Linked DNA regions of Callithrix jacchus. The protein of the gene in region 1 interacts with the protein of each later gene in a pairwise test. Links are inferred from orthologs where the notes say so. Each region holds a gene or a part of one and is shown on either strand. Other genes may lie near its edges.

Region 1 (4,308 bases):
AATGCAAAATGTGTCCTGATATTGGTGAGGAGAGAAAGCAGATGATGAGACCAGTAGCCACTCACTCACTCAACTCCACAAGCCAGAGCTGGGACTTCTCTGTGCCACGCCAGGGGCCACTGGAAACAGCACACAGACTCTGCACCCACAGACCCCACAGCCCAGCAGGGAGGGGTGATCAGAAGCCCGAGAGGACACTGTATGAAGGGAGGGTTCCCAGGGGAGGCAGCCAGGCTGCAGGAAGGGGATTCATGGGTGAGGCTCCCAACCCAAGCTGGGGAAGCTTCTGGAAGGAAGAGGAGTCTCAGTGAACTCCTGAGGGTGAGAGATTTGGGTGGGAAGGAGGAGGGAGAGGAGGAGGCAGGAACAGCCTGTGCAAAGCCTGCAGGTGACAGAAGCCCCACTTGCTTGAGGAACTGAAAGCAGCTCAGGGCAGCTGGGGGGCAGAGTGAGAGTGAGAAGGGAGAGTCGGAGGCCAGGCATGGTGGCTCATGCCTGTAATGCCAGCACTTTGGGAGGCCGAGGGGGGTGGATCACGAGGTCAAGAGTTCGAGACCAACCTGGCCAGGATGGTGAAACTCCATCTCTACTAAAAATATGAATTAGCTAGGTGTGGTGGCCCATGCCTATAATCCCAGCTATTTGGGAGACTGAGGCAGGAGAATCACTTGAACCTGGGAGGTGGAGGTTGCAGTGAGCCGAGATTGCACCACTGCACTCCAGCCTGGGCAACAAGAGTGAAACCCCATCTCCAAAAAAACAAAGAAGGAAGAGTTAGACTGGGCATGGGGACGGTGGCACAGCCACGTCAAATAGCAACATGGGCCATTGTGGAATGAATGAATGATTGAATGACTGTGAACTCTGGGAAATAGCTGGCAACCTGAGGGAGGGAGGCTTTCTCTCTATTCCCCACAACCAAAGAGCCACCCAAACCAGACAGTTCTCTCTAGGCCCCTCCTAAGCCTGGAGGTGTTGCCATCCTTCACAGACACAGGCCCGTGGCTGGGCCAGAACCCTTGGTAGCAGCCTCTTCCTCAGAACTGGGTTTGCTCCTCCACACACGAGGGTCATGAGACCCCTGAGAGCTTGCTGTGAACACCCCAGACGCTGAGGACGGCCTGGCTTGGGCCTTCCCAGCTTCCCTGTTGTTGACCTGGATTTTCCTCCCAAGGGCTGCGACCAAGGCAGAGACCCTATTCTAAGCTTGGCACCCCGGGAAGAAAGTGCTAACCCAGCAGCCTGAGGAGAGCCAGACCTTCACATCAGACCTTCCCCAGAGCCAGGACCAGGCCTGGACACTCAAACCAGGGGCCCATAAGACCCTCTGGAGCCAGCAGGTTGCAACAGTATCTCCAAAAGCCATAGCTGCCCATCAACTCCAGGCTTAGGAGGGGCCTCAAGAGAACTGTCTGGTTTGGGTGGCTCTTTGGTCCTGGGGGATAGAGAGAAAGCCCAAGAGTGGGCTCAACCCCCTCCCTCGGATTGCCAGCTATTTCCCAGAGTTCACATTCAGTCACTCAATCATTCATTCCACAAATTATTTACTTGGTGCCAAACCCTGCTCTGGTGCAGGGGCAATGACAGAGATGAATCAGATTCCCCTGAAGATAACTCTGCTCCAGAAGGAGACAAACAAGACAAATAACCCAGCCACAAGGCAGTCCAGGAGCACAGGGGAGGGGGCAAGTATCAGGGAAGCTGCCTGGAAGGGCGGCTTGAGAGGGGTGACTTGGACATGTAATGGAAAGGCCACGGTGGAGGGTGGAAGCAAAATCACTGACGGATAGTCCTGTTTGCACCCCAGCTATGCCAGGGGCTGGGGCAATGTGGGTTATTTATGGTTGAGCCTAGAAAAAAGCGGCCATATATGTCACTACCTATGTGGTGCAGAGCTGGGCTGTTGTGGGCAGGGGCAGCTGAGGCTTGAAGCTGGGTCTGGCCAAGCTCCCGGGTTTGCCACCATGTCCCCTACACCCTGATGACCCTTTAACCTTTTCATAGCCTCTTGTAAGGTGAAAATAAGGGGCAGAGACAGCTTCAACAGGCAGCAAGTGGCCTGGGGCTTGCAGGGGTGGGCAGTGCCCAGCAGCCCGTGGCTTCTGTAACTGCGGGCCTTTTAGCATCATCACCTCCTTCTTGCCTCCTCCCCCTCCCATCCCAGCTGTGGGGGAAGGGGTAGGGGGCAGAAGGAAATACCTTTAACCATAAGCCAGACAGGCATCAGCTGCTGTGTTTCTCCCCAGCCCACTCTGATCCATAAATAGCCTACGCACCAAGCTGGCATCAGCCCACCCACCCCTTCTGGTAGCAGTCCAGAGACCCGGACCGCCCGAGCCCAGGCCCCAGCTTCCCCAGGAACCTATTTCCGCCGCTTTTCCTGGGGTAAAGGCCTCCGTTGCCGGCTCGTCCCCCCACAATGGACACAGCGCAGGGGCATCCTAGCACTGCCTGGGTGATGCCCCCGAACTCCGGTCCCAGCAAAGCATCCCCGGGCGCGCACGCACTTCTCTCCAGACAGCAGCCCAACCCGCCCCGGGCTCTGGCCCAGGGAGATGCCAGTCTCGGCGCCCACTTCGAACACGCACTCCCTAACTCTACGCCCCCCACATAACCCCCCACCCTCTATTCAAGGGCCAGACCCCCTACCTGGGGGCAGGAGCGCGGGGCACCATTGGCGGCGCCTCGGGGCGAAGCGGGACGTCTGGGGCCCGGCCTCAAGCCCGGCCGACTTCCCGGGGGAGGAGGGGCTGGCGCTGCCACCGCCACCGCGTCTCTCTGGGATCTCGCCTGGGCTGCGGGAAGGAGGAAGGTCAGAGCCGAGGCGGAGCGGGGGGGAAGGATGAGGAGGAGGCGTGCACAGAGCCGCGCAGATTAGAGAGGCATTTTTAGCTAGCCAATGGCAGCTCGGGCAGGGCGGCGCGGTGGCTGCGCAGGTGGACGCGCCGCGGCTGCCGGGGAGGCAGCCACCAGTTTGGCAGGCGCCGGGGGTGGCGGGTGGGGTCCGGCTCCCCCCTGCTTCAGCCGCCCCCTGCCCCAGCCGTCCTGCCCGATTCCCTCCTCCGGGGGCTGCCCGCGGGCCCGCGCGGGCCAGGAGCCCTCCCGTGCACCCTCCTTCCCAGCCCTCCCAGCTGGCGCGCTCGGAGCCCCGGGTGTTGCTCCCCGCCTGTCTCCCCATCTCCCCACCGCCTTGGCCTTTTCTCTGCTCCGGAGCCTCGGCGACCCCTGGTGCGTGAGGGTGCCTGTGTGATGGGCATGTTGAAGAGGTGCGTGGGAGCCTGCACCACCGCCCCAGCGATGCCCACTCCCGCCCGCAGCCTCTGCCCGGTGACCCCATGGGGCAGAGTCACTAACCCTCAGGTCCTAGTTCCAGCAGGACCGGCTGTCGCCAAAAAAACTCAAAGCTCCCGTCCCCTTGGGGTTCTCTGGGGGAGTTGGGGCCTAACAAGTCCTCAACGGCCTTCACTCTTCCCGACTTGAGTCCTGAATGCTGCCTGGAGCCCGGAAGCTGCAGGGAGTAGCGGGGCACATGCCTACTGAAGGCCTGTTCTGTGCCAGCCACTGATGAGGGGCTGGGCTGCAGCAGGGGACAAAGCAAAACTCTGCCGTCTCGTAGTTCACCTGTGCGAGGGAAGACAGACATTCAGTGTCGGTAGCTAAGAGTGTTTTAAAGTGGTATGCACAGAGAAGAAAAATAAAGCTGGAGGAAGGGAAAGGAAGTGAGATTGCTCAGCACCAGAATGGGTCCCTGCCCTTTATGTGTGTCGGGACTGGAGGGTGGGGGCGGTGATTTATTTGACTGTGAGCCCCTCAGATAGCCATGCAGACTCCAGTTTGCTGCAGACCTCACTACTCCCTATTGCTCGAGCCTGGAATAACCACGTTTATAGTTCCTGACTTCTCTCTCCACACACTTCATCAGAGGCACTGAAATTCATGCCCCTGTGACCCCGTGGAATGCCTGAATGCTGTATTTACTCATGCATTAAGAATTCTCTGGGGCCGGGCATGGTGGCTCACGCCTGTAATCCCAGCACTTTGGGAGGCCGAGGCGGGTGGATCACGAGGTCAAGAGATCGAGACCATCCTGGTCAACGTGGTGAAACCCCATCTCTATTAAAAATACGAAAAATTAGCTGGGCATGATGGCGCGTGCCTGTAATCCCAGGTACTCAGGAGGCTGAGGCAGGAGAATTGCCTGAACCCAGGAGGCGGAGGTTGCAGTGAGCCGAGATCGCGCCATTCCACTCCAGCCTGGGTAACAAGAGTGAAACTCCATCTCAAAAAAAAAAAAGAGTTCTCTGAGCA
Region 2 (4,345 bases), on another chromosome or scaffold:
AAAGCACAGTTTCCCCGGGAGTCAAGTAGTCATACGTCACTGTTTTAACAAAATTCCTAGTAAAAAGCATGCAATTTCAATCCAAGTAAAAATGTGTACTTGTGTTTTTCACAAAGATAACTAATAACTACCTGTTAATAATTTAGCCAGACATAGAGTCAGTGAGTTTACATTCACCAACCTATCTCCCCTCCAGTAAACCTCTAGAAGAGCGTTTGTAGGCCATACTTTACAGGGTGAAATCTTAATTCACTGCACCCAGTCTAGCTTCTTTGTACACAACACAAGGAGGAGTGGTCGTTTCAGCAACAGCCGCAGCTCCGCCGTATCAGTTTGTTATCACGTGGGAAGAGGGTGGCTTACCGAAAGTTTGATTTTTTAATCAACAGTTGCAGAATCAGATAGAAAACAAATTTCCCTCAAGCACATTGCAAAGGAGTAAACTCAGTGAAGAGCCAGTAGATTCTGACTGCCACCAGTAATGTGCTAAAGTCAGATACTTGACGGCAATATCTAACCTTTATAATTAGCAAGCATACACCATAATTATATAAAATGCTCAAAGACCTAATACTATTTATTTCTTCAGATTTGAACACAAAATTGCTTCTTATTAAATATGTAATTTTTGTCTGAAGAAATATAAGGATATTAGTATTTTCTTGATGTTTCTTCACTGAAAGTATTAAAAAATGACAAAGTAATTGAGAACAACAGAAGTTAAAAATAGTATGTCTAGATTTCTTGGACAAAGATGTCTGGACAAGAAAACTGGACTATGGATGAGTAAGGGAAAAGAACTGAATGCATCAGGAGTAATAATTTCAGGTTCTCCATAGCAAAAATCCTTCGCTTTCCTTTGCCATTCAAATGCGAAGGCCAATCGGAGCTCCGGGAGGCAGTGAGAAGGCCAGCCCTGGACTACCTCTCGCTACACAGTACCAGGCTGAAAAGAGTGCCACGACTTAGGGTCCGTCCTTTCACTTCTATCATCAGACTCCGTTCAAGGATTTTACAGATACTCTTTGAATACAGTTTTGCCGGCCTTTTAAATGTTCTCTCTGTCTTCATATTTATTTATAAGGTAATAGTGACAAAATAATTCAGTCTCCTTAAATAGGTTCATTTAATAGGCTATGAAAGCCACAGATTTAAAGATACCTCTGTTTCACATTTCCCTATGTTATTTTGGGATGTCTATTACCATGAAAAAGGATTTCCCACATTTATTTTCTTTCTGGGGAATTTGTTTATTCAAAGAGAATTACATAACCACCGCTAAGTGCACTGCAAAAAAAAAAAAAAAAGAAAGAAAGAAAAAGAAAAGAAAACTTCTTTTTAACTTTCCTCAGCTTCAGGATTATTCGATTTGCTAACCGGGCTCACTTTTTCCTGGCATTAAAGAAAAACTCTAAAATTTAAAAAAGAGCCCGACTGAAAGTCTTTTATACACTTGGGCAACACGTCTGCCTATGGGCACATGGGCAGGGTGAGTCAGTAGGACACAACTGTAAAAGAAAAAAAGATTTGTTGTCCCCAAAGCTGCCTCCCTCAAGTCCAGTTGCCATAGCAGAAAGTGGGCCCACTCGGTAAGCAGGTGCAGGGCTCCCCCAACCCTCATTCCATTTGCAAGACTCATACACATGTGCTCCAGGCGAGCGAGCGAGGTCGAAGGTCCCCGGCGCGCGGCGCTGAAATCTACTAAGTCCTCCCGGACTGTGAGCGACCCCGGGGCCCAGCCTGCGCGGCCCGCCGGGATGCCGGGCACCTGGCGCGGGATCCGGATAAAGAGCGGGGCTGCTCGCGCTGTATGAGGGAAATTACTCTTTCTGCGAGTCAAATCCTGAAGGTGACGTGTAATCCCTGCACGCAAGGTGTGGGGACGGTAAACAGAAACTGGGAGAGGTCTGGGCAGAAGCCGAATCGCGAAGACAGGGATGGGCGCCCTGACTCGCGGGTCCGCTTCGGGGATCTGCGCCTCAGGCCTGGCCCCACCAGCGCGCCCCTTCCACTGGAATAAAGACAGGGAGGGAGAGCCGTTACCATGAAACCCTCCGGGCAATCCGAGTAGCTCCCGAGAGCGTGGGGCCCGGGTGGCCGCGAAGCCCTACCCTCCACTCCGCCAGAGAGCCGACCCAGGGGGTGCCGCCACCGGAGGAGGGAAGACTTGGTCAGAACTCCGGCCGGGGACAAGCCCGCACGGAAGCTGCCGAAGTCAAAGGCCGGGAGTCCCCTCGCTCCCCCACCGCCCCTAGGGCAAACATTCGGGGGGCCTGAGGGGAGCTCCGAGCTGAATGGGGGTGGTGCTGGCGGGGACCCCTATAAGGACTTTGGCACACAAGCCACCCAGCGCGAAAAGTGCGCTCCGGCCCTAGCCGGACACGGTTACCTGGGCAACGACCCGGGCGCCCAAAGTACACAGCACGCACCACCACCCAACACCAGCACCCAAAACCAGCACCGCAGCACCTGCTCCACCACTATCACCAGCACCCGCTGGGGCAGCAGAGAGGGCGCCCAGCCCAGGAGCGCGAGGTGCGGGCGCGGGCGTCCGAGCCCCGCGAAGCCCCCGCCCCACCCCACCCCTCCTGGCCTCGGGGCGGCTTACCCGGTCGGGGGCTTGGCGGCCAAGGCGCGCGACGCGTCCATGGTGCCGGGGGCTGGGGCACTGGCGGTGATCGGGCCCCGCGAGTTAGGCGCTGGCTGCGGCCGCCACCGCTGCCGCCCTCATTCACTTTTTCCGCGCTGACCCATCGTCCTCCCACGCGGGCCGGCGGAGGACAGCGGCGGAGCCGGGCGGACGGAAGGGGCAGGAACCGTCTCTGGCGGGCGGGGGCGCCGGGCGCGCTGGGAGGGGCTGGCGGCGGCGCGGGGCGGGGGCGCCGGGAGCAAGGTGCGCCGCGCCCCCGCCCCGGCTGGCTCCGCCGCGCCCACCGGAGCGCCGCCCACGCCCCGCCCCGCCCCGCCTGCCCCGACCCGAGCCCGGGCCAGTCCCGGGGCACGCGTCCGAGGAAATAGTCTCCTGACACCTGGCCCCTGCACGGACACCGCGGCTCTGCAGAGGGCTTATCCCCGGGCTCCTCCACTTTGCGGGGAGCGCGCCCCTGTCTGGGCGGAGCGGGGGAACCCGGGGCCGTCCCCTCCCGGGCGGAGCTGGGGGAGGGGAACCACCTGGAGCCTAGAGGCCGTGCTAGGGCGAGGTGGGCGGACCAGCGCCGGAGCGCAGAGGTTGGAGGGTGAGAAGCGTGTGTCCGGCGCTGCTCTCTGACCTTTATCCGAGCAACAGATGTCTAGTGCGTGGGGTCGCAAAGTGGGAGTCCCTACCGCGAGCGTCAGCAACACCTGGGAACTTGTTAGAAATGCAGATTTAGGGGCCCCACCGGGTCCCATGGAATCAGAAACAATGTGGGCTGGAGCGCGGCCTCGCTTTGCTAACAACTCAGTCGCTCTGGGTTAATGCACCTGATCAGCTGGGCGCTTCTGTGGCACAACTCTACCACTCCAATGCAGGCTGGCGGGCATATATGCAGGTCCTGCCGGCCACCCCGGGGCCCAGAGCAAGCCAGCCAGAGGTCCCTGATGTGCGGAACTTCACCTCCACTCTCCCAGATCCTGGTTGGTATGATGGACTGACCTATAAAAGTGGCAGTTTCATATGGTTTCAATAACTCGAGTAAAAGACCAGCAAGAGGCCAGGCCTGCACGGTGATCAGCGTTGGAGGTGTTGCTTCCCTTGAGATCTTGTCACTGGATGAGGTATCCGGAGGCCTGCGGAGCCTTCCTCCCTCTGATCCCCTGCTTTCTCATTAACTGAAGGAGGAGGGAGACCAGTCTAGATGCAAAATGTGAGTCCTTGCCGTGGCTGGCAGATCTTGGGGGTTCCCTAGCTCCCACCTAGAACGGTTTCCGAAGTCTTGCGATGGCCTTGGGGCTCACTGCCCCGCAGCCCAACCTCCCATTTTCTCCACCTGAGTGGAGCCCTGTTCCGGCTCAGGGCCTCTGGCTGGGATGCTCCTCCATAGTGCTCTCCTCCTGCTCCTTCTTATCCCGTGGTCTCCCCAGGAAGACTTTCCTGGCCTCTGTGTCTAAAACTCCGAGTGGGACACAGTGGCTTACACCTGTAAACCCAGCACTCAGGGAGGCCACCGCCGGAGGAGTCTTGAGCCCAGGAGTTGGAGACCAGCCTGTACAACTCAGGAGAACACTCTACCAAACAGAAAATTAGCAGGGCATGGTAGCACACACTTGTAGTTCCAGATGGGGGCAGGCAGGGAGGATAGCCTGAGTCTACGGTGAAGTTGAGGTGGTTGAGGTTACAGGGAGCCGTGATCACAACATTTCACTC
Region 3 (4,161 bases), on another chromosome or scaffold:
TCATAAATTAAGGGTGAAACTAATTAAAGATTTTATCTTGTCTTGTGATTGAAAGATATGACTTTAAAGAAGTTTCACTGTTACTCAATATTTGTTGCAAGCAACTGTAAAAGCTTGCATAGCTTCACATTCAGAAGCATAAATGATTCATGAAATTGTTTAACCAGAGTTATTATTTAAAGACTAAAATCCAGGGGTATTTAAATAAATTGCATTACTATTAGTTAAGCTCTCTAAAAGCAACTTTTTCTAATATGGTTCCAGTATTGTAATCCAAATGAGTCATGTGGTTTTTTCTTTTTATGTGCAAAGATGCACTGAAAGGACTACATAATGCACTGGAAGAAATAAATACTAATGCCTGCCTATGATAGGCAAATAGTACATTGCTAGACATTCAGTTCAGCAATCTTTTTTTGTTGCTGCAATGGATAAACAACTAAAGGATAATTAATATTTAATTTTAATATCTTCCAACTGTTACTCTATCAGTGGCTAACACAGGTTTATTACTTGATGTCAGTACTACAGCAGAGGTCTTCTTCAGGGTGTTCCTTCATGTAAGATCTCTCCGTCAGTTTAATGCAAATATCTGTTTTTAAATGTAATTTTGAGTTGATTTCTTAATGTCACATTTTTTTCTGAAAACACATTTTTGGTTCCATCAGAATGGCTTGCACCTTAAAACAATTGGCACTTATAAAAAATATAAAATATGCAAATATATTACGGTGGTACTAATGTGATTGCGGTTTTGTCATTACTTTTAAAATGGCAAAAAGCCGCAGTAACTTTTACCTAGTACCTGTCAGGTGTAAAGAATCATCTAAAGGGCATGCACGTGGATACTAAAACGTACAAGCACACAGCTGTGTATGATTCCTTTATGCTTGTAACACTTCCAATAAGTGAATAAAATCTATCACTTAATTCTTACAGACTGTCATCAGACATACTGTTGACCAGTTTTCATGTCACAACTGTTATAGGCTTTTACAAAAAATGCCTCTGAAGACAGGCAAGCTTAAACCTGCCACCAATTAGTAAGATCTGTGTTACAGGTGCACTTTTAAAAGAATGGCAACCTTAGAGGTCAAGTTAAAAATACAAGCTAAGAAAAACACACACACACAATCCTGGACGTCGAAGGTCAGACTGCAGGCCCCACTCTGAGAGTTTCTGTCCGCATTCCGCGGAGGCCCCAATCCTCCCCTCGGGTCCTGGCCAGGCAGGTAACTTCCCTTCCTCCCCACCTGTCCTGCTCTGGCGCAGCAGGCTTCCCGAAGCGCAGCCCTAGCGGTGGGAATGGGAACACCTTGCCTGGGAGCTTCCTTTCGGTTCAGCTTCCCCCCAGCTGGACCCCAAACCCCGAAGCCCTGGGGGAAGGAAATTCCAACTCGCTCCCGGCCCACCCCCGCCCCGTTCCTCTCTCCGGCTCGCTGCTTCCCTCGCTCAGATGCCGCCGAGCTCGTCCCCACTTCTGGGCAACCGTGCGGCAGAGGCGGCGGCGAGCTCCCGGACTCCCGGCAGGGAAATGGGGCAGGGTGAGTGAGCGAGCGGGCTCCAGCGAGGCCCCCAGCGCCCAGCGAGCGCCCACACCCCGCCCGCGGGGCAGGGGAGGCGCTGAGTCGGCCCGGCCCGCTCTGGGCTAAGCCTCGCAGGGGCTGCGGCTTCTCCATTCAAGTTCTGGCTTGAGAGCCGAGCTGCCGCCTGAGGGCCGGGGGAGGGAAGAGTAGGAGAGGAAGTCGCGAGGGAGAACAGGAGAGCTACTGTCTCCTTCGGAAAAGAACGTAGGAAGGAGCCTTGGGTGGGAAAAAGAGAGATCAGCCCTCCCAACTTCTCTTCGGGAAAACTTTTCCCAGGGCGTTTTGTTTGTGCAAACTCGGCCGGAGGAGCCCGGGAGTGCGCTGCCGGCGTGGCGGCGTTGCCCGTGCACCCGGCCCGCTCCTCCTCCGCTTCCAGCCGGGGCAGCTCCTCTCCCTCCCAAAGAGGCGCCAAATGGCTACTCACTAAACCCCACGGGGCGGGGGCTGCAGCGCCACCTCCTCCTCCGCCGTACTCCTAGAGCTTGCTAGACCTTGCGGCGACGGCGGCGGTGGCGCCCGAGGGTTTGGAGCCTCGGCCCGCAGGTGGAAAGCGCACCCGGGAGGCGGGCCGGCCGGGGCTGGGGCGGCTCGGGCGGGCTCTTGACGCTCAGCCAGCCCCGCTCCGGCCTCGTGAAAGCGCGCGTCCCGCCCTGACCCGCTGGCCTCTCCCACCCCAGCAGTGACGCGCCGTCTCGGAGCTGGAGCCCGCGCAACGCCCCGCAGGGCTATGGACGGCCGAACCCCGCACTCGCAGGACGCCCAGGCGGCGCCCACGCCGCTCGCCGCCCCAGCCGGGTAAGCATAGAGCGCCGCGCCGCCGCTCCCCGGGTAGGGCGAGGACCCGAGGCCGCGGCGGTTTCACCTGGCTGGCAACTGTCTGCCCTGCCGGCGGCCTGACTCACTGGCCGCCCTCCACGCAGCCGGGGAGGCTGCTTCTTCCCGGCCTTCTCGGAGGCCACCCGGGCGGAAGGCTGGTTTTTGGTTGCCTTCCTACCGGGGCTGCCCGGATTGCTGAAGGCCAGCTGAATGCCAGGAATTGGGTGAGGAGTCCGGGAGCAAAAACTCTAACAAAGGGCCCCTTGTTTGGGCTCTGGAGGAGCGGTGGACGATACCTGTAAGTGAGCTCCTGGGAAGAGGGCAAAAGTTTCCTTGGCCATGGGCGAGGCCCAGGCAGGTGAGCAGTGTCAACGTGACTGTAAGGAGTGGGCTTTCTGCAAGAGGGTGGAGGGCGACGGAAGGTGTGCCAGCTGTCAGCCCGCTTGACAGTTCCGGGAGCGAGCGGGGTGCGCGCCTCTGATTGGGGGTGTGTGTGTGCCTGTGGCCAATTGCTGGTGCCAAAACCAAGCGCAAATCAGATTGCAAACAACTCTACTTTTCTTTTTATCCTCACATGTTTGAGAAGAGATTGGAGGGGAAGGGGCTGTCACATGATGAGTTAATGTTAAATGAAGCATGTCTTCCTGCCAGATATGCGAATAGTCACCTTGCTAAGTATTTGAGTAAACAGTAGTGGGAACAGGTAGTTCTGCAAAAGATGAAAAAAACCCTAAAATAACCTTGGTCTTAGTAAATAGTTCAGGAGTAACTTGGATGCTAGTTTAGCTCCTGAAGTGGGAAACCCCTTTGATGTAGTACACCTTTTTTTTCCCCAAGTGTTCTCCCAACGTGGTTTATTTTCTTTACCTGAACGCAGAAATGTCCTAATGAGAATATGAGCATTCTAGAAATAGAAACGTTAAGGAAAAATCGACGTTGTCACTAATGAATGAGACTTGTACGGTTTTCCTGATTTAAGAGTGTGGAAGTCATTTTTCCCTGGAACACGACAGGCGTTTCCTTAGAAGCAAGTCACAGCATGTGTATTCATCAGAGACTATTCGAACATTGGCAGTTGTCTAGAGGAAACATGGAAAAGTCTCAAAGCAACATGACTAATCTAAAAGATATTTAGTATAATTTTTACATAGAGGAAACATGTATATGAATTAATTCTTTCATTTTGCTCCAGTTAGCTTTCTCCTCTCCAAATAGTCCTCTTGCTTTTGACTTTCATTTATCTTTCCCCAAGTTTTTCATTGTTTAAATTATCATATATTCTTCCATACGTTCTCACGTTAAGATGAGTAAAGAAATATATTGGTAGAAAGATACTGAGCATAAAAGCAAGGTTCCTAAGTGGAGCTGCAGAATTATGTGAATTGATGATGAGACAGATTTCCGATTGTAAAATAAGATAGAATTAAATTAGATTTTGAAATGGATTAGGTTAAGGAACTTTAAAAAACAAAGATAGAAAAACATACCTGCTTTCACAAAATACACCCATGGGTGTTCAGAAGTCACTGGGGACTTTTAAATAAATTGATGAGGTCAGATGGCTCTGTGTTAAAGAAATGGAAAAACACTTTTAGTGGCAAGGATGACTATAGTAAGAGCCTTCAGATGTTACTCTTGATTTTCTGTTTTAATGTAGACATAAGGTCTTGCTTGCTATGTTCCCTAGGCTGATTTTAAATCGCTGGCTTCAAGCAATCTCACCTTGGCCTCCTAAAGTGTTGGGATTACCAGCATGAGT
Region 4 (3,549 bases), on another chromosome or scaffold:
AAAAAATTACAATAACAGAATAAATGCCAACAGTAACTTTAAAATCTGGGATAATCTGGTGAATCCTTCTTGAATCTGACAGACAGCAGAGCATTTTCAAAAGGGATGTTTTCTTTTCTCATTCCCATATAGACTGACAAAACAAATATAGTAGTTTACAAAGACAATACAAAAAATATATATATAAGGAAGCAGAAGTGATAAGCAACACATAAACTTCATTGCTCTTACTGATTGGTTCAGTTAAAAATAGAAAGAAATTTCATAATCAGGTTTCTTTAGTGTGAGTACTCAGTAGAGTTAAGTATTCTGTAACTTAAAAGTTATACCAAATACTTCATCAGGATTTTCAGTGAGCTCTTTTTTTCTAGCTCATACCTTTTCAGGTCTTCTAAAGTAAGCAACTTAAAATGAGATTTTAGAGTTCTAAAATGTAGTTGGTGACACGGAGTGTAGTTGTAAGGATTTTAAAATCCAACAAAGACTATCTTAACACTGAAAACAATGAAAATATTTAGAAAAACTGTAGATAATTTAAAAAGTAGTACTATTAAAGAGAGCTATGCTTCCAGACAAAAATTCAAGTTAAAACTTGTTCTTCCTGCTTCTGTCCCGCAGCTGTCCATCAAAAGCAGCTTTCTCCCTGCGGTCTATCAAATATTTCCCTCACAAATCAATTTTACACATGATCAGCCCATACCCCTACTGAGCTGAACCTCCCCGTTAATTAAGTGAAGAAATTACCATATATATTATATTAATGCAAACATCATTCAGCTAGTAATTCACGGCTGATCTGGATAATGGAAAGGTTGAACACCCATTAACCCAAGCCAACAAAATGGGTTGGCTGAGAAATTCTAGCAGGTCTCATGTGACTTTTCCCTCTAACTGCAGCTCTGCGGTATCTGCTATTGTAATAATTAAAATCCTCCCGGTAGATCAATACTGGAATCTCTTTATGGGAAGTGCCCTGATGGAAATGTCTCAAGGAAACTGGGGCTGTGGAACTCTGAAAAATTCATTTTTTTTTATCTGACAATTATCACCACACTGCAGACTAATTCAACAGTGCACCCCTCTCACTCTGCTTTGAATGCACTGGAGATTGACATCTTAAAAAACCTAACATCTCATTTTAACAAATAAAGGCACTATTTCCACATACAGTTTGGAATTATCAGCAATCATGAAACCACACAAAAAATTAATATACATTAAGCACTTCATCTTCTGATGGCTTCCTCTGAGTTTCAGTTATCGCTGCCTTCTCCTCATTTCCTTTCTTTGTATCTTCCTGTATTGATCTCTGCCTTTTCATCTCTTAAAAAAAAAAGAGGAAAGACATGTAAAATTATTATAAAGCTTGATATTTGTGTATTGAAATGTAGATTTACATTACCAGCTTTCATATATATATACACACATATATATAAAACACTATATATACATTTATTTTATATATACATATATATATGTGTATATATATATATATAGTTAAATAATAAGAAAGATGGGAAAATATTTTAAAAAGTATTTCTACCTGGTCTATTCTCAATATATTGGCTGAAAGACTGAAGTTGAGTTTTTCTGACTGTAGAATCTTTGCTGAACACAACAGGATTTCTAAAACGTTCTGTTGTTTTTTGTAATCGTTCAGTCTGGAGATCTTCTGTGCCATTCTAAAAGTAAAACAACACATAATAAGAGAGTTCTGATCTCATAAACATAAAAATACGCATTAGTAAGGCAACTTTTACTGATTTAGGATAACAATGATTTAGAAACTTTTTGCAAGAAAAAGATTTTAAAGCACTTTCAACAGCTCAACTGCAAGTTCTGTTGCCTGTAATCACAAACTTTGGGACACATGGTTTTACTCTTGATAACTTTGATGCAAATGTGCCTTCCCCCAGTGATACATATCATTTAAAAGCCATGTTGCCTCCTATTTCCCCCACTATTCTGTGTCATCGGTTTGTACAGCCCCACAGACTTGTATGACAACGAGAACTAGTTTCTAATTTTATGTCCATTGAGATAAACCACTAATGCTGGATGAAGGCTAAAAGGTAGGATTATAATACTACCCCACTGAACTGCATTTCATCAGCTATAACTTTCCAAAGCCAGATTTGTAAGTAAGCCCTTTACAGCTAAGGAAACTACAATTATCTTTTCCGGAGCTTCCTATGTTAATACTGGTAACAAATTCAAATGGTTCTATCAACAAGAAATATCCCAGAAGACTGAACCACTGCAGTGTGTGGAAGCTGCAGATACCGAAGTGCTGTGTACCAAACAAATATTTCATTTTATACCTAATCTTTTATTATTTTTATTAAGTGTTTTGAAAGTAAATAGGGAAAGGCTAAGATGCATGACTAATAGCTAAGCCTGCTGAATGCTGAAACTGGTTATCAAAAGCTACCAAGACTTTGCCCTTCCCTTGCATTGAGACAATCGGTAATGAGGGAGCCCTCCAATGGCCTATTCTCTAGCCTCAAGGAGGCCTGGGATACAGAATCCTCAGGGGAAGGTAACAGTTTATCCTTTTCCACAAACACAGAATGCCTCATTTATAAATGTGTAAACTGCATTTTATTAAAAAAATAAAAACCCAAATCAATGTTGAAAGCTTCAAGAGAACAGATGGACTCTATATGTTTTTATAAACACCATTTTCAAAATCTTAACTAAAAGGATTCATACAAAGAAAAGCTGTTTAAAGCACACCTTTTGTTGGAATAACTTTAAAGACTACTATTTAAGAGTGTTTTGGAAAGCAAAACCAATTTTATCTGTACAGATAAAGCATAATAATGAAAATAACACTATTTCATTTTTTTAAAGTTATCTAATACATTTATCATTAACATCATGCTTATAATATCCTAGCTATATAGTTATGATAGAAACAATTTTGGCTTTGATTCTATTTTTTTTTAAAGAAAAATAGAGTTCTACTGTTATAACTATCCAATGGTCTAAAACTCGAGTCTTTACCAAAATAAACAAACACAGCTAAATTTTTTTAGGCCTGGCAACATGCTAAAATATCAGTGCGATTAGCCAGCAAATCCCATCTTAACAAACCTTTTTATGACTAGGGACTTCTGCCACTTTACAAATGTATTCCCCTAAACCCACTAATTCAGTTAGCCTTTTCAATCTATTGTATTATTCTTAGGCCAGCTTCATTCTGCATTAAATCCACTGCAGAAAGCTAAATTGAACGCAAAAAAATCAGACCTGATCCAGGCTTCCTTTTGTTCAAAGATAGAGACCAAAAGTCCTCTGGTGCTGCCATACACTTTCATCACCAATTTATAGAAACTGACAATATAGGGGAAAAGCAATGAAAGTCATTGTTTTGGGACTTCAAAGCATCTCTGTGTCAGGGGAAGGAAATCCTTTCAGTCAGCGGGGCAGTCCCCATAGTCCGCAGGTGGGTGAAAAGTTATACAGGACTGGAAGTGCCCTAAAGCTAGAGAAATAGTAATCACTGTGAGGGAAGTGGGGGAACATGTGGGTGGGAATAATATAAAC
Region 5 (2,575 bases), on another chromosome or scaffold:
GCACGCGGATCACCTGAGGCCAGGAGTTCGAGACCAGCCTGGCCAACATGGTGAAACCCCATCTCTACTAAAAATGCAAAAAAAAACTAGCCAGGTGTGGTGGCAGGTGCCTATAATGCCCGCTACTTGGGAGGCTGAGGCAGGAGAATTGCTTGAGCCGGGGAGGTGGAGGCTGCAGTGAGCCAATATCTAGTCACTGAACTCTAACCTGGGCAACAAGAGCAAAACTCCATTTCAAAAAAAAAAAAATTAGCCAGGCATGGTGCTGGGCACCTGTAGTCCCAGCTACTCGGGAGGCTGAGGCAGGAGAATCACGGGAACCCGGGCGGCAGAGGTTGTAGTCAGCCAAGATTGTGTACCGCCGCACTCCAGCCTGGGTGACAGAGCGAGACTCCACATTTAAAAAAAAAAAAAAAGGGTTGAGTTTGTCCTGATGGCTGATTTGCTGGGTGGGGCAGAGGGAGGGGGCATGAATGCTTCCTTTTCTGGGCCACCCCTTCCCCTCCCAGCAGCAGAAGCCCAGCAACCACACCACACGCCTTGGTCCTGTGCACACAATGCCTTTATTCCTGGGCTGGCGTCTGGATGTGGAGGACACAGGGACTCACAGATTCTCTGGTGGAAGAGGAGGGCAGTCACGCCCTGGGTCCAGACTGACCAGTGTGTGCGTGCAGAGACCAGGTGGGGCGATGGAGCCAGCTGGGGACGCTGGGGCAGGGACCCAGGCTGGCCTCCAAGTGCATAGGCCTGGATGGGGCTGGGTGAAGCCAAGTGAAGTGGGTCTGCAAGGGGACTGCAGTGGGGCGAGGCCCTGCGTGGGTGTGCTGTGTGGCCACTGGGCGCGGCCTTTCTCAGCGGCCCTGAGCCTGGAGTCTCTGCATCTGCAGAATCTGGCTGAGAATCTGCTGCACCTCTTCATCCATCTGGCCCTAGGATGGGGAATAGAGGGAGACCCTGAGTGCACCCCCAGTGGCTTCCCCAGGCCCCTCTGCCACTCCCACAGACCAAGCCAGCCAGGAGGGAAATGCTCAGATGCAGGCTCCAACATGCCATGAACCGCTCCCTGGGACCAGCCTCCCACTGTACAGAAGGGGAAACTGAGGCCAAGAGAGCAACAATGGCACACCCAAAGCCACACAGGCACCTGGGAGCTAGGCGACTCACCTGAATGGCGTACAGGAGGTGGCTTCTGTACAAAGCCACCACACTGGAGTGGTCCCTGGCAGCTTCCTGTGGGTATGAGGGAGGGACACTCAGAAAAGCAGGACCACCTCCCCGCTGAGGAAGACACACCAAAAAGCGCCCTTTGTACCCCAAGCCTGTATTTTGATGGCATACACCAGGCGATGGCAGGCTGCTAAAATATGGAAATATGGCTGGGCACAGTGGCACATATTTGTAATCCCAACACTTTGAGAGGCTGGGGGGAGCCCAGGAGTTCGAGACCTGGCCAACATGGCGAAAACCCATCTCTACTAAAAATACAAAAATTAGCCCAGTTTGGTAGTGTGTGCCTGTAATTCCAGCTACACAGGACACTAAGGCAGGAGAATTGCTTGAACCTGGAAGGCGGAGGCTGCAGAGGCTGCAGTGAGCCAAGATCTTCCCACTGCACTCCAGCCTGGGTGAGGGAGTGAGACCCTGTCTCAAAAAAAAATAAAGAAAATATTTCCTGGCCACGCTGGGCACGTGACGTGTGCCCCACCTGCTTACCCCAGCCCTCTCCTGGGATTCCCGCCTGTGCCAAGCTGGTTGGTAAATATTTATCTGGACTCCTCTGCCCTGACGGTCCTCTGCCCCTGCCCGGCCCAGCTCTTACCTGCAGCTGCCGCTGTAAACCCTTCACCTGGTCACGGAGAGCCTCCACCTCAGGGGGGGCCAGGGCAGCCGGCTGCTCCTTCAAGGCCTCCTTAAGACTGAAGACTTCTTTGGAGAGTTCTGTGATCTGAGGGTGGGGGGGTTGTCAGTGGTCACCCTCAGCCCAGGGCTGGGGGTAGGGACCTCTCTGAAGCCGCAGGAAGAGGCCAGGGAGGAAGGCTTTCAAGGGAAGGTCCCATCTCTTGGGTTAGCAAACTCTGGCCTGAGGGTCATGCCTGGCCCACAGCCTGTTTTCTGTTTTTATTTTTATTTTTTTGAGACGGAGTTTCGCTCTTGTTACCCAGGCTGGAGTGCAATGGCGCGATCTCGGCTCACCGCAACCTCCGCCTCCTGGGTTCAGGCAATTCTCCTGCCTCAGCCTCCCGAGTAGCTGGGATTACAGGCACGCACCACCATGCCCAGATAATTTTTTGTATTTTTAGTAGAGATGGGGTTTCACCATGTTGACCAGGATGGTCTCCATCTCTTGACCTCGTGATCCACCCGCCTCAGCCTCCCATATTTTTATTTTTTTAAATAGAGACGGGGTTTCTCCATGTTGGTCAGACTGGTCTTGAACTCCCGACCTCAGGTGACGCACCCACGTCGGCCTCCCAAAGTGCTGGGATGACAGGTGTGAGTCACCACATCTCTTAAAGCTTCAGTGAGCTCATCTGGAAGATGGGGACTTTCTGAAACCAGGTGTGGTGGCTCACAC

Evidence for each region.
Region 2: the proteins of PACSIN1 (region 1) and COBL interact in binary tests that used the Homo sapiens proteins (3 or more experiments, as listed by UniProt). The link is inferred for Callithrix jacchus from reciprocal best matches to the Homo sapiens genes PACSIN1 and COBL.
Region 3: the proteins of PACSIN1 (region 1) and COBLL1 interact in binary tests that used the Homo sapiens proteins (3 or more experiments, as listed by UniProt). The link is inferred for Callithrix jacchus from reciprocal best matches to the Homo sapiens genes PACSIN1 and COBLL1.
Region 4: the proteins of PACSIN1 (region 1) and EHBP1 interact in a two-hybrid assay, tested with the Homo sapiens proteins (2 studies listed by BioGRID and IntAct). The link is inferred for Callithrix jacchus from reciprocal best matches to the Homo sapiens genes PACSIN1 and EHBP1.
Region 5: the proteins of PACSIN1 (region 1) and ANKRD24 interact in a two-hybrid assay, tested with the Homo sapiens proteins (2 studies listed by BioGRID and IntAct). The link is inferred for Callithrix jacchus from reciprocal best matches to the Homo sapiens genes PACSIN1 and ANKRD24.

The regions. Positions count from the first base shown.
Region 1 is NC_133505.1:42,732,200-42,736,507, reverse strand, and holds the start of PACSIN1 (protein kinase C and casein kinase substrate in neurons protein 1), read right to left. Parts: upstream 2,816-4,308; 5' UTR 2,650-2,815; intron 1-2,649. UniProt on the Homo sapiens protein: Plays a role in the reorganization of the microtubule cytoskeleton via its interaction with MAPT; this decreases microtubule stability and inhibits MAPT-induced microtubule polymerization.
Region 2 is NC_133512.1:18,653,801-18,658,145, forward strand, and holds the start of COBL (protein cordon-bleu), read right to left. Parts: upstream 2,825-4,345; 5' UTR 2,650-2,824; coding exon of another isoform or gene 2,609-2,649; intron 1-2,608.
Region 3 is NC_133507.1:64,780,056-64,784,216, forward strand, and holds the start of COBLL1 (cordon-bleu protein-like 1), read left to right. Parts: upstream 1-1,356; 5' UTR 1,357-1,456; coding exon 1,457-1,544; intron 1,545-2,073; exon of another isoform or gene 2,074-2,263; coding exon 2,264-2,381; exon of another isoform or gene 2,382-2,760; intron 2,761-4,161.
Region 4 is NC_133515.1:51,123,012-51,126,560, forward strand, and holds part of EHBP1 (EH domain-binding protein 1), read right to left. Parts: intron 1,683-3,549; coding exon 1,544-1,682; intron 1,324-1,543; coding exon 1,217-1,323; intron 1-1,216. UniProt on the Homo sapiens protein: May play a role in actin reorganization. Links clathrin-mediated endocytosis to the actin cytoskeleton. May act as Rab effector protein and play a role in vesicle trafficking.
Region 5 is NC_133523.1:3,967,487-3,970,061, reverse strand, and holds the end of ANKRD24 (ankyrin repeat domain-containing protein 24), read right to left. Parts: intron 1,946-2,575; coding exon 1,820-1,945; intron 1,231-1,819; coding exon 1,165-1,230; intron 930-1,164; coding exon 852-929; 3' UTR 545-851; downstream 1-544. UniProt on the Homo sapiens protein: Component of the stereocilia rootlet in hair cells of inner ear.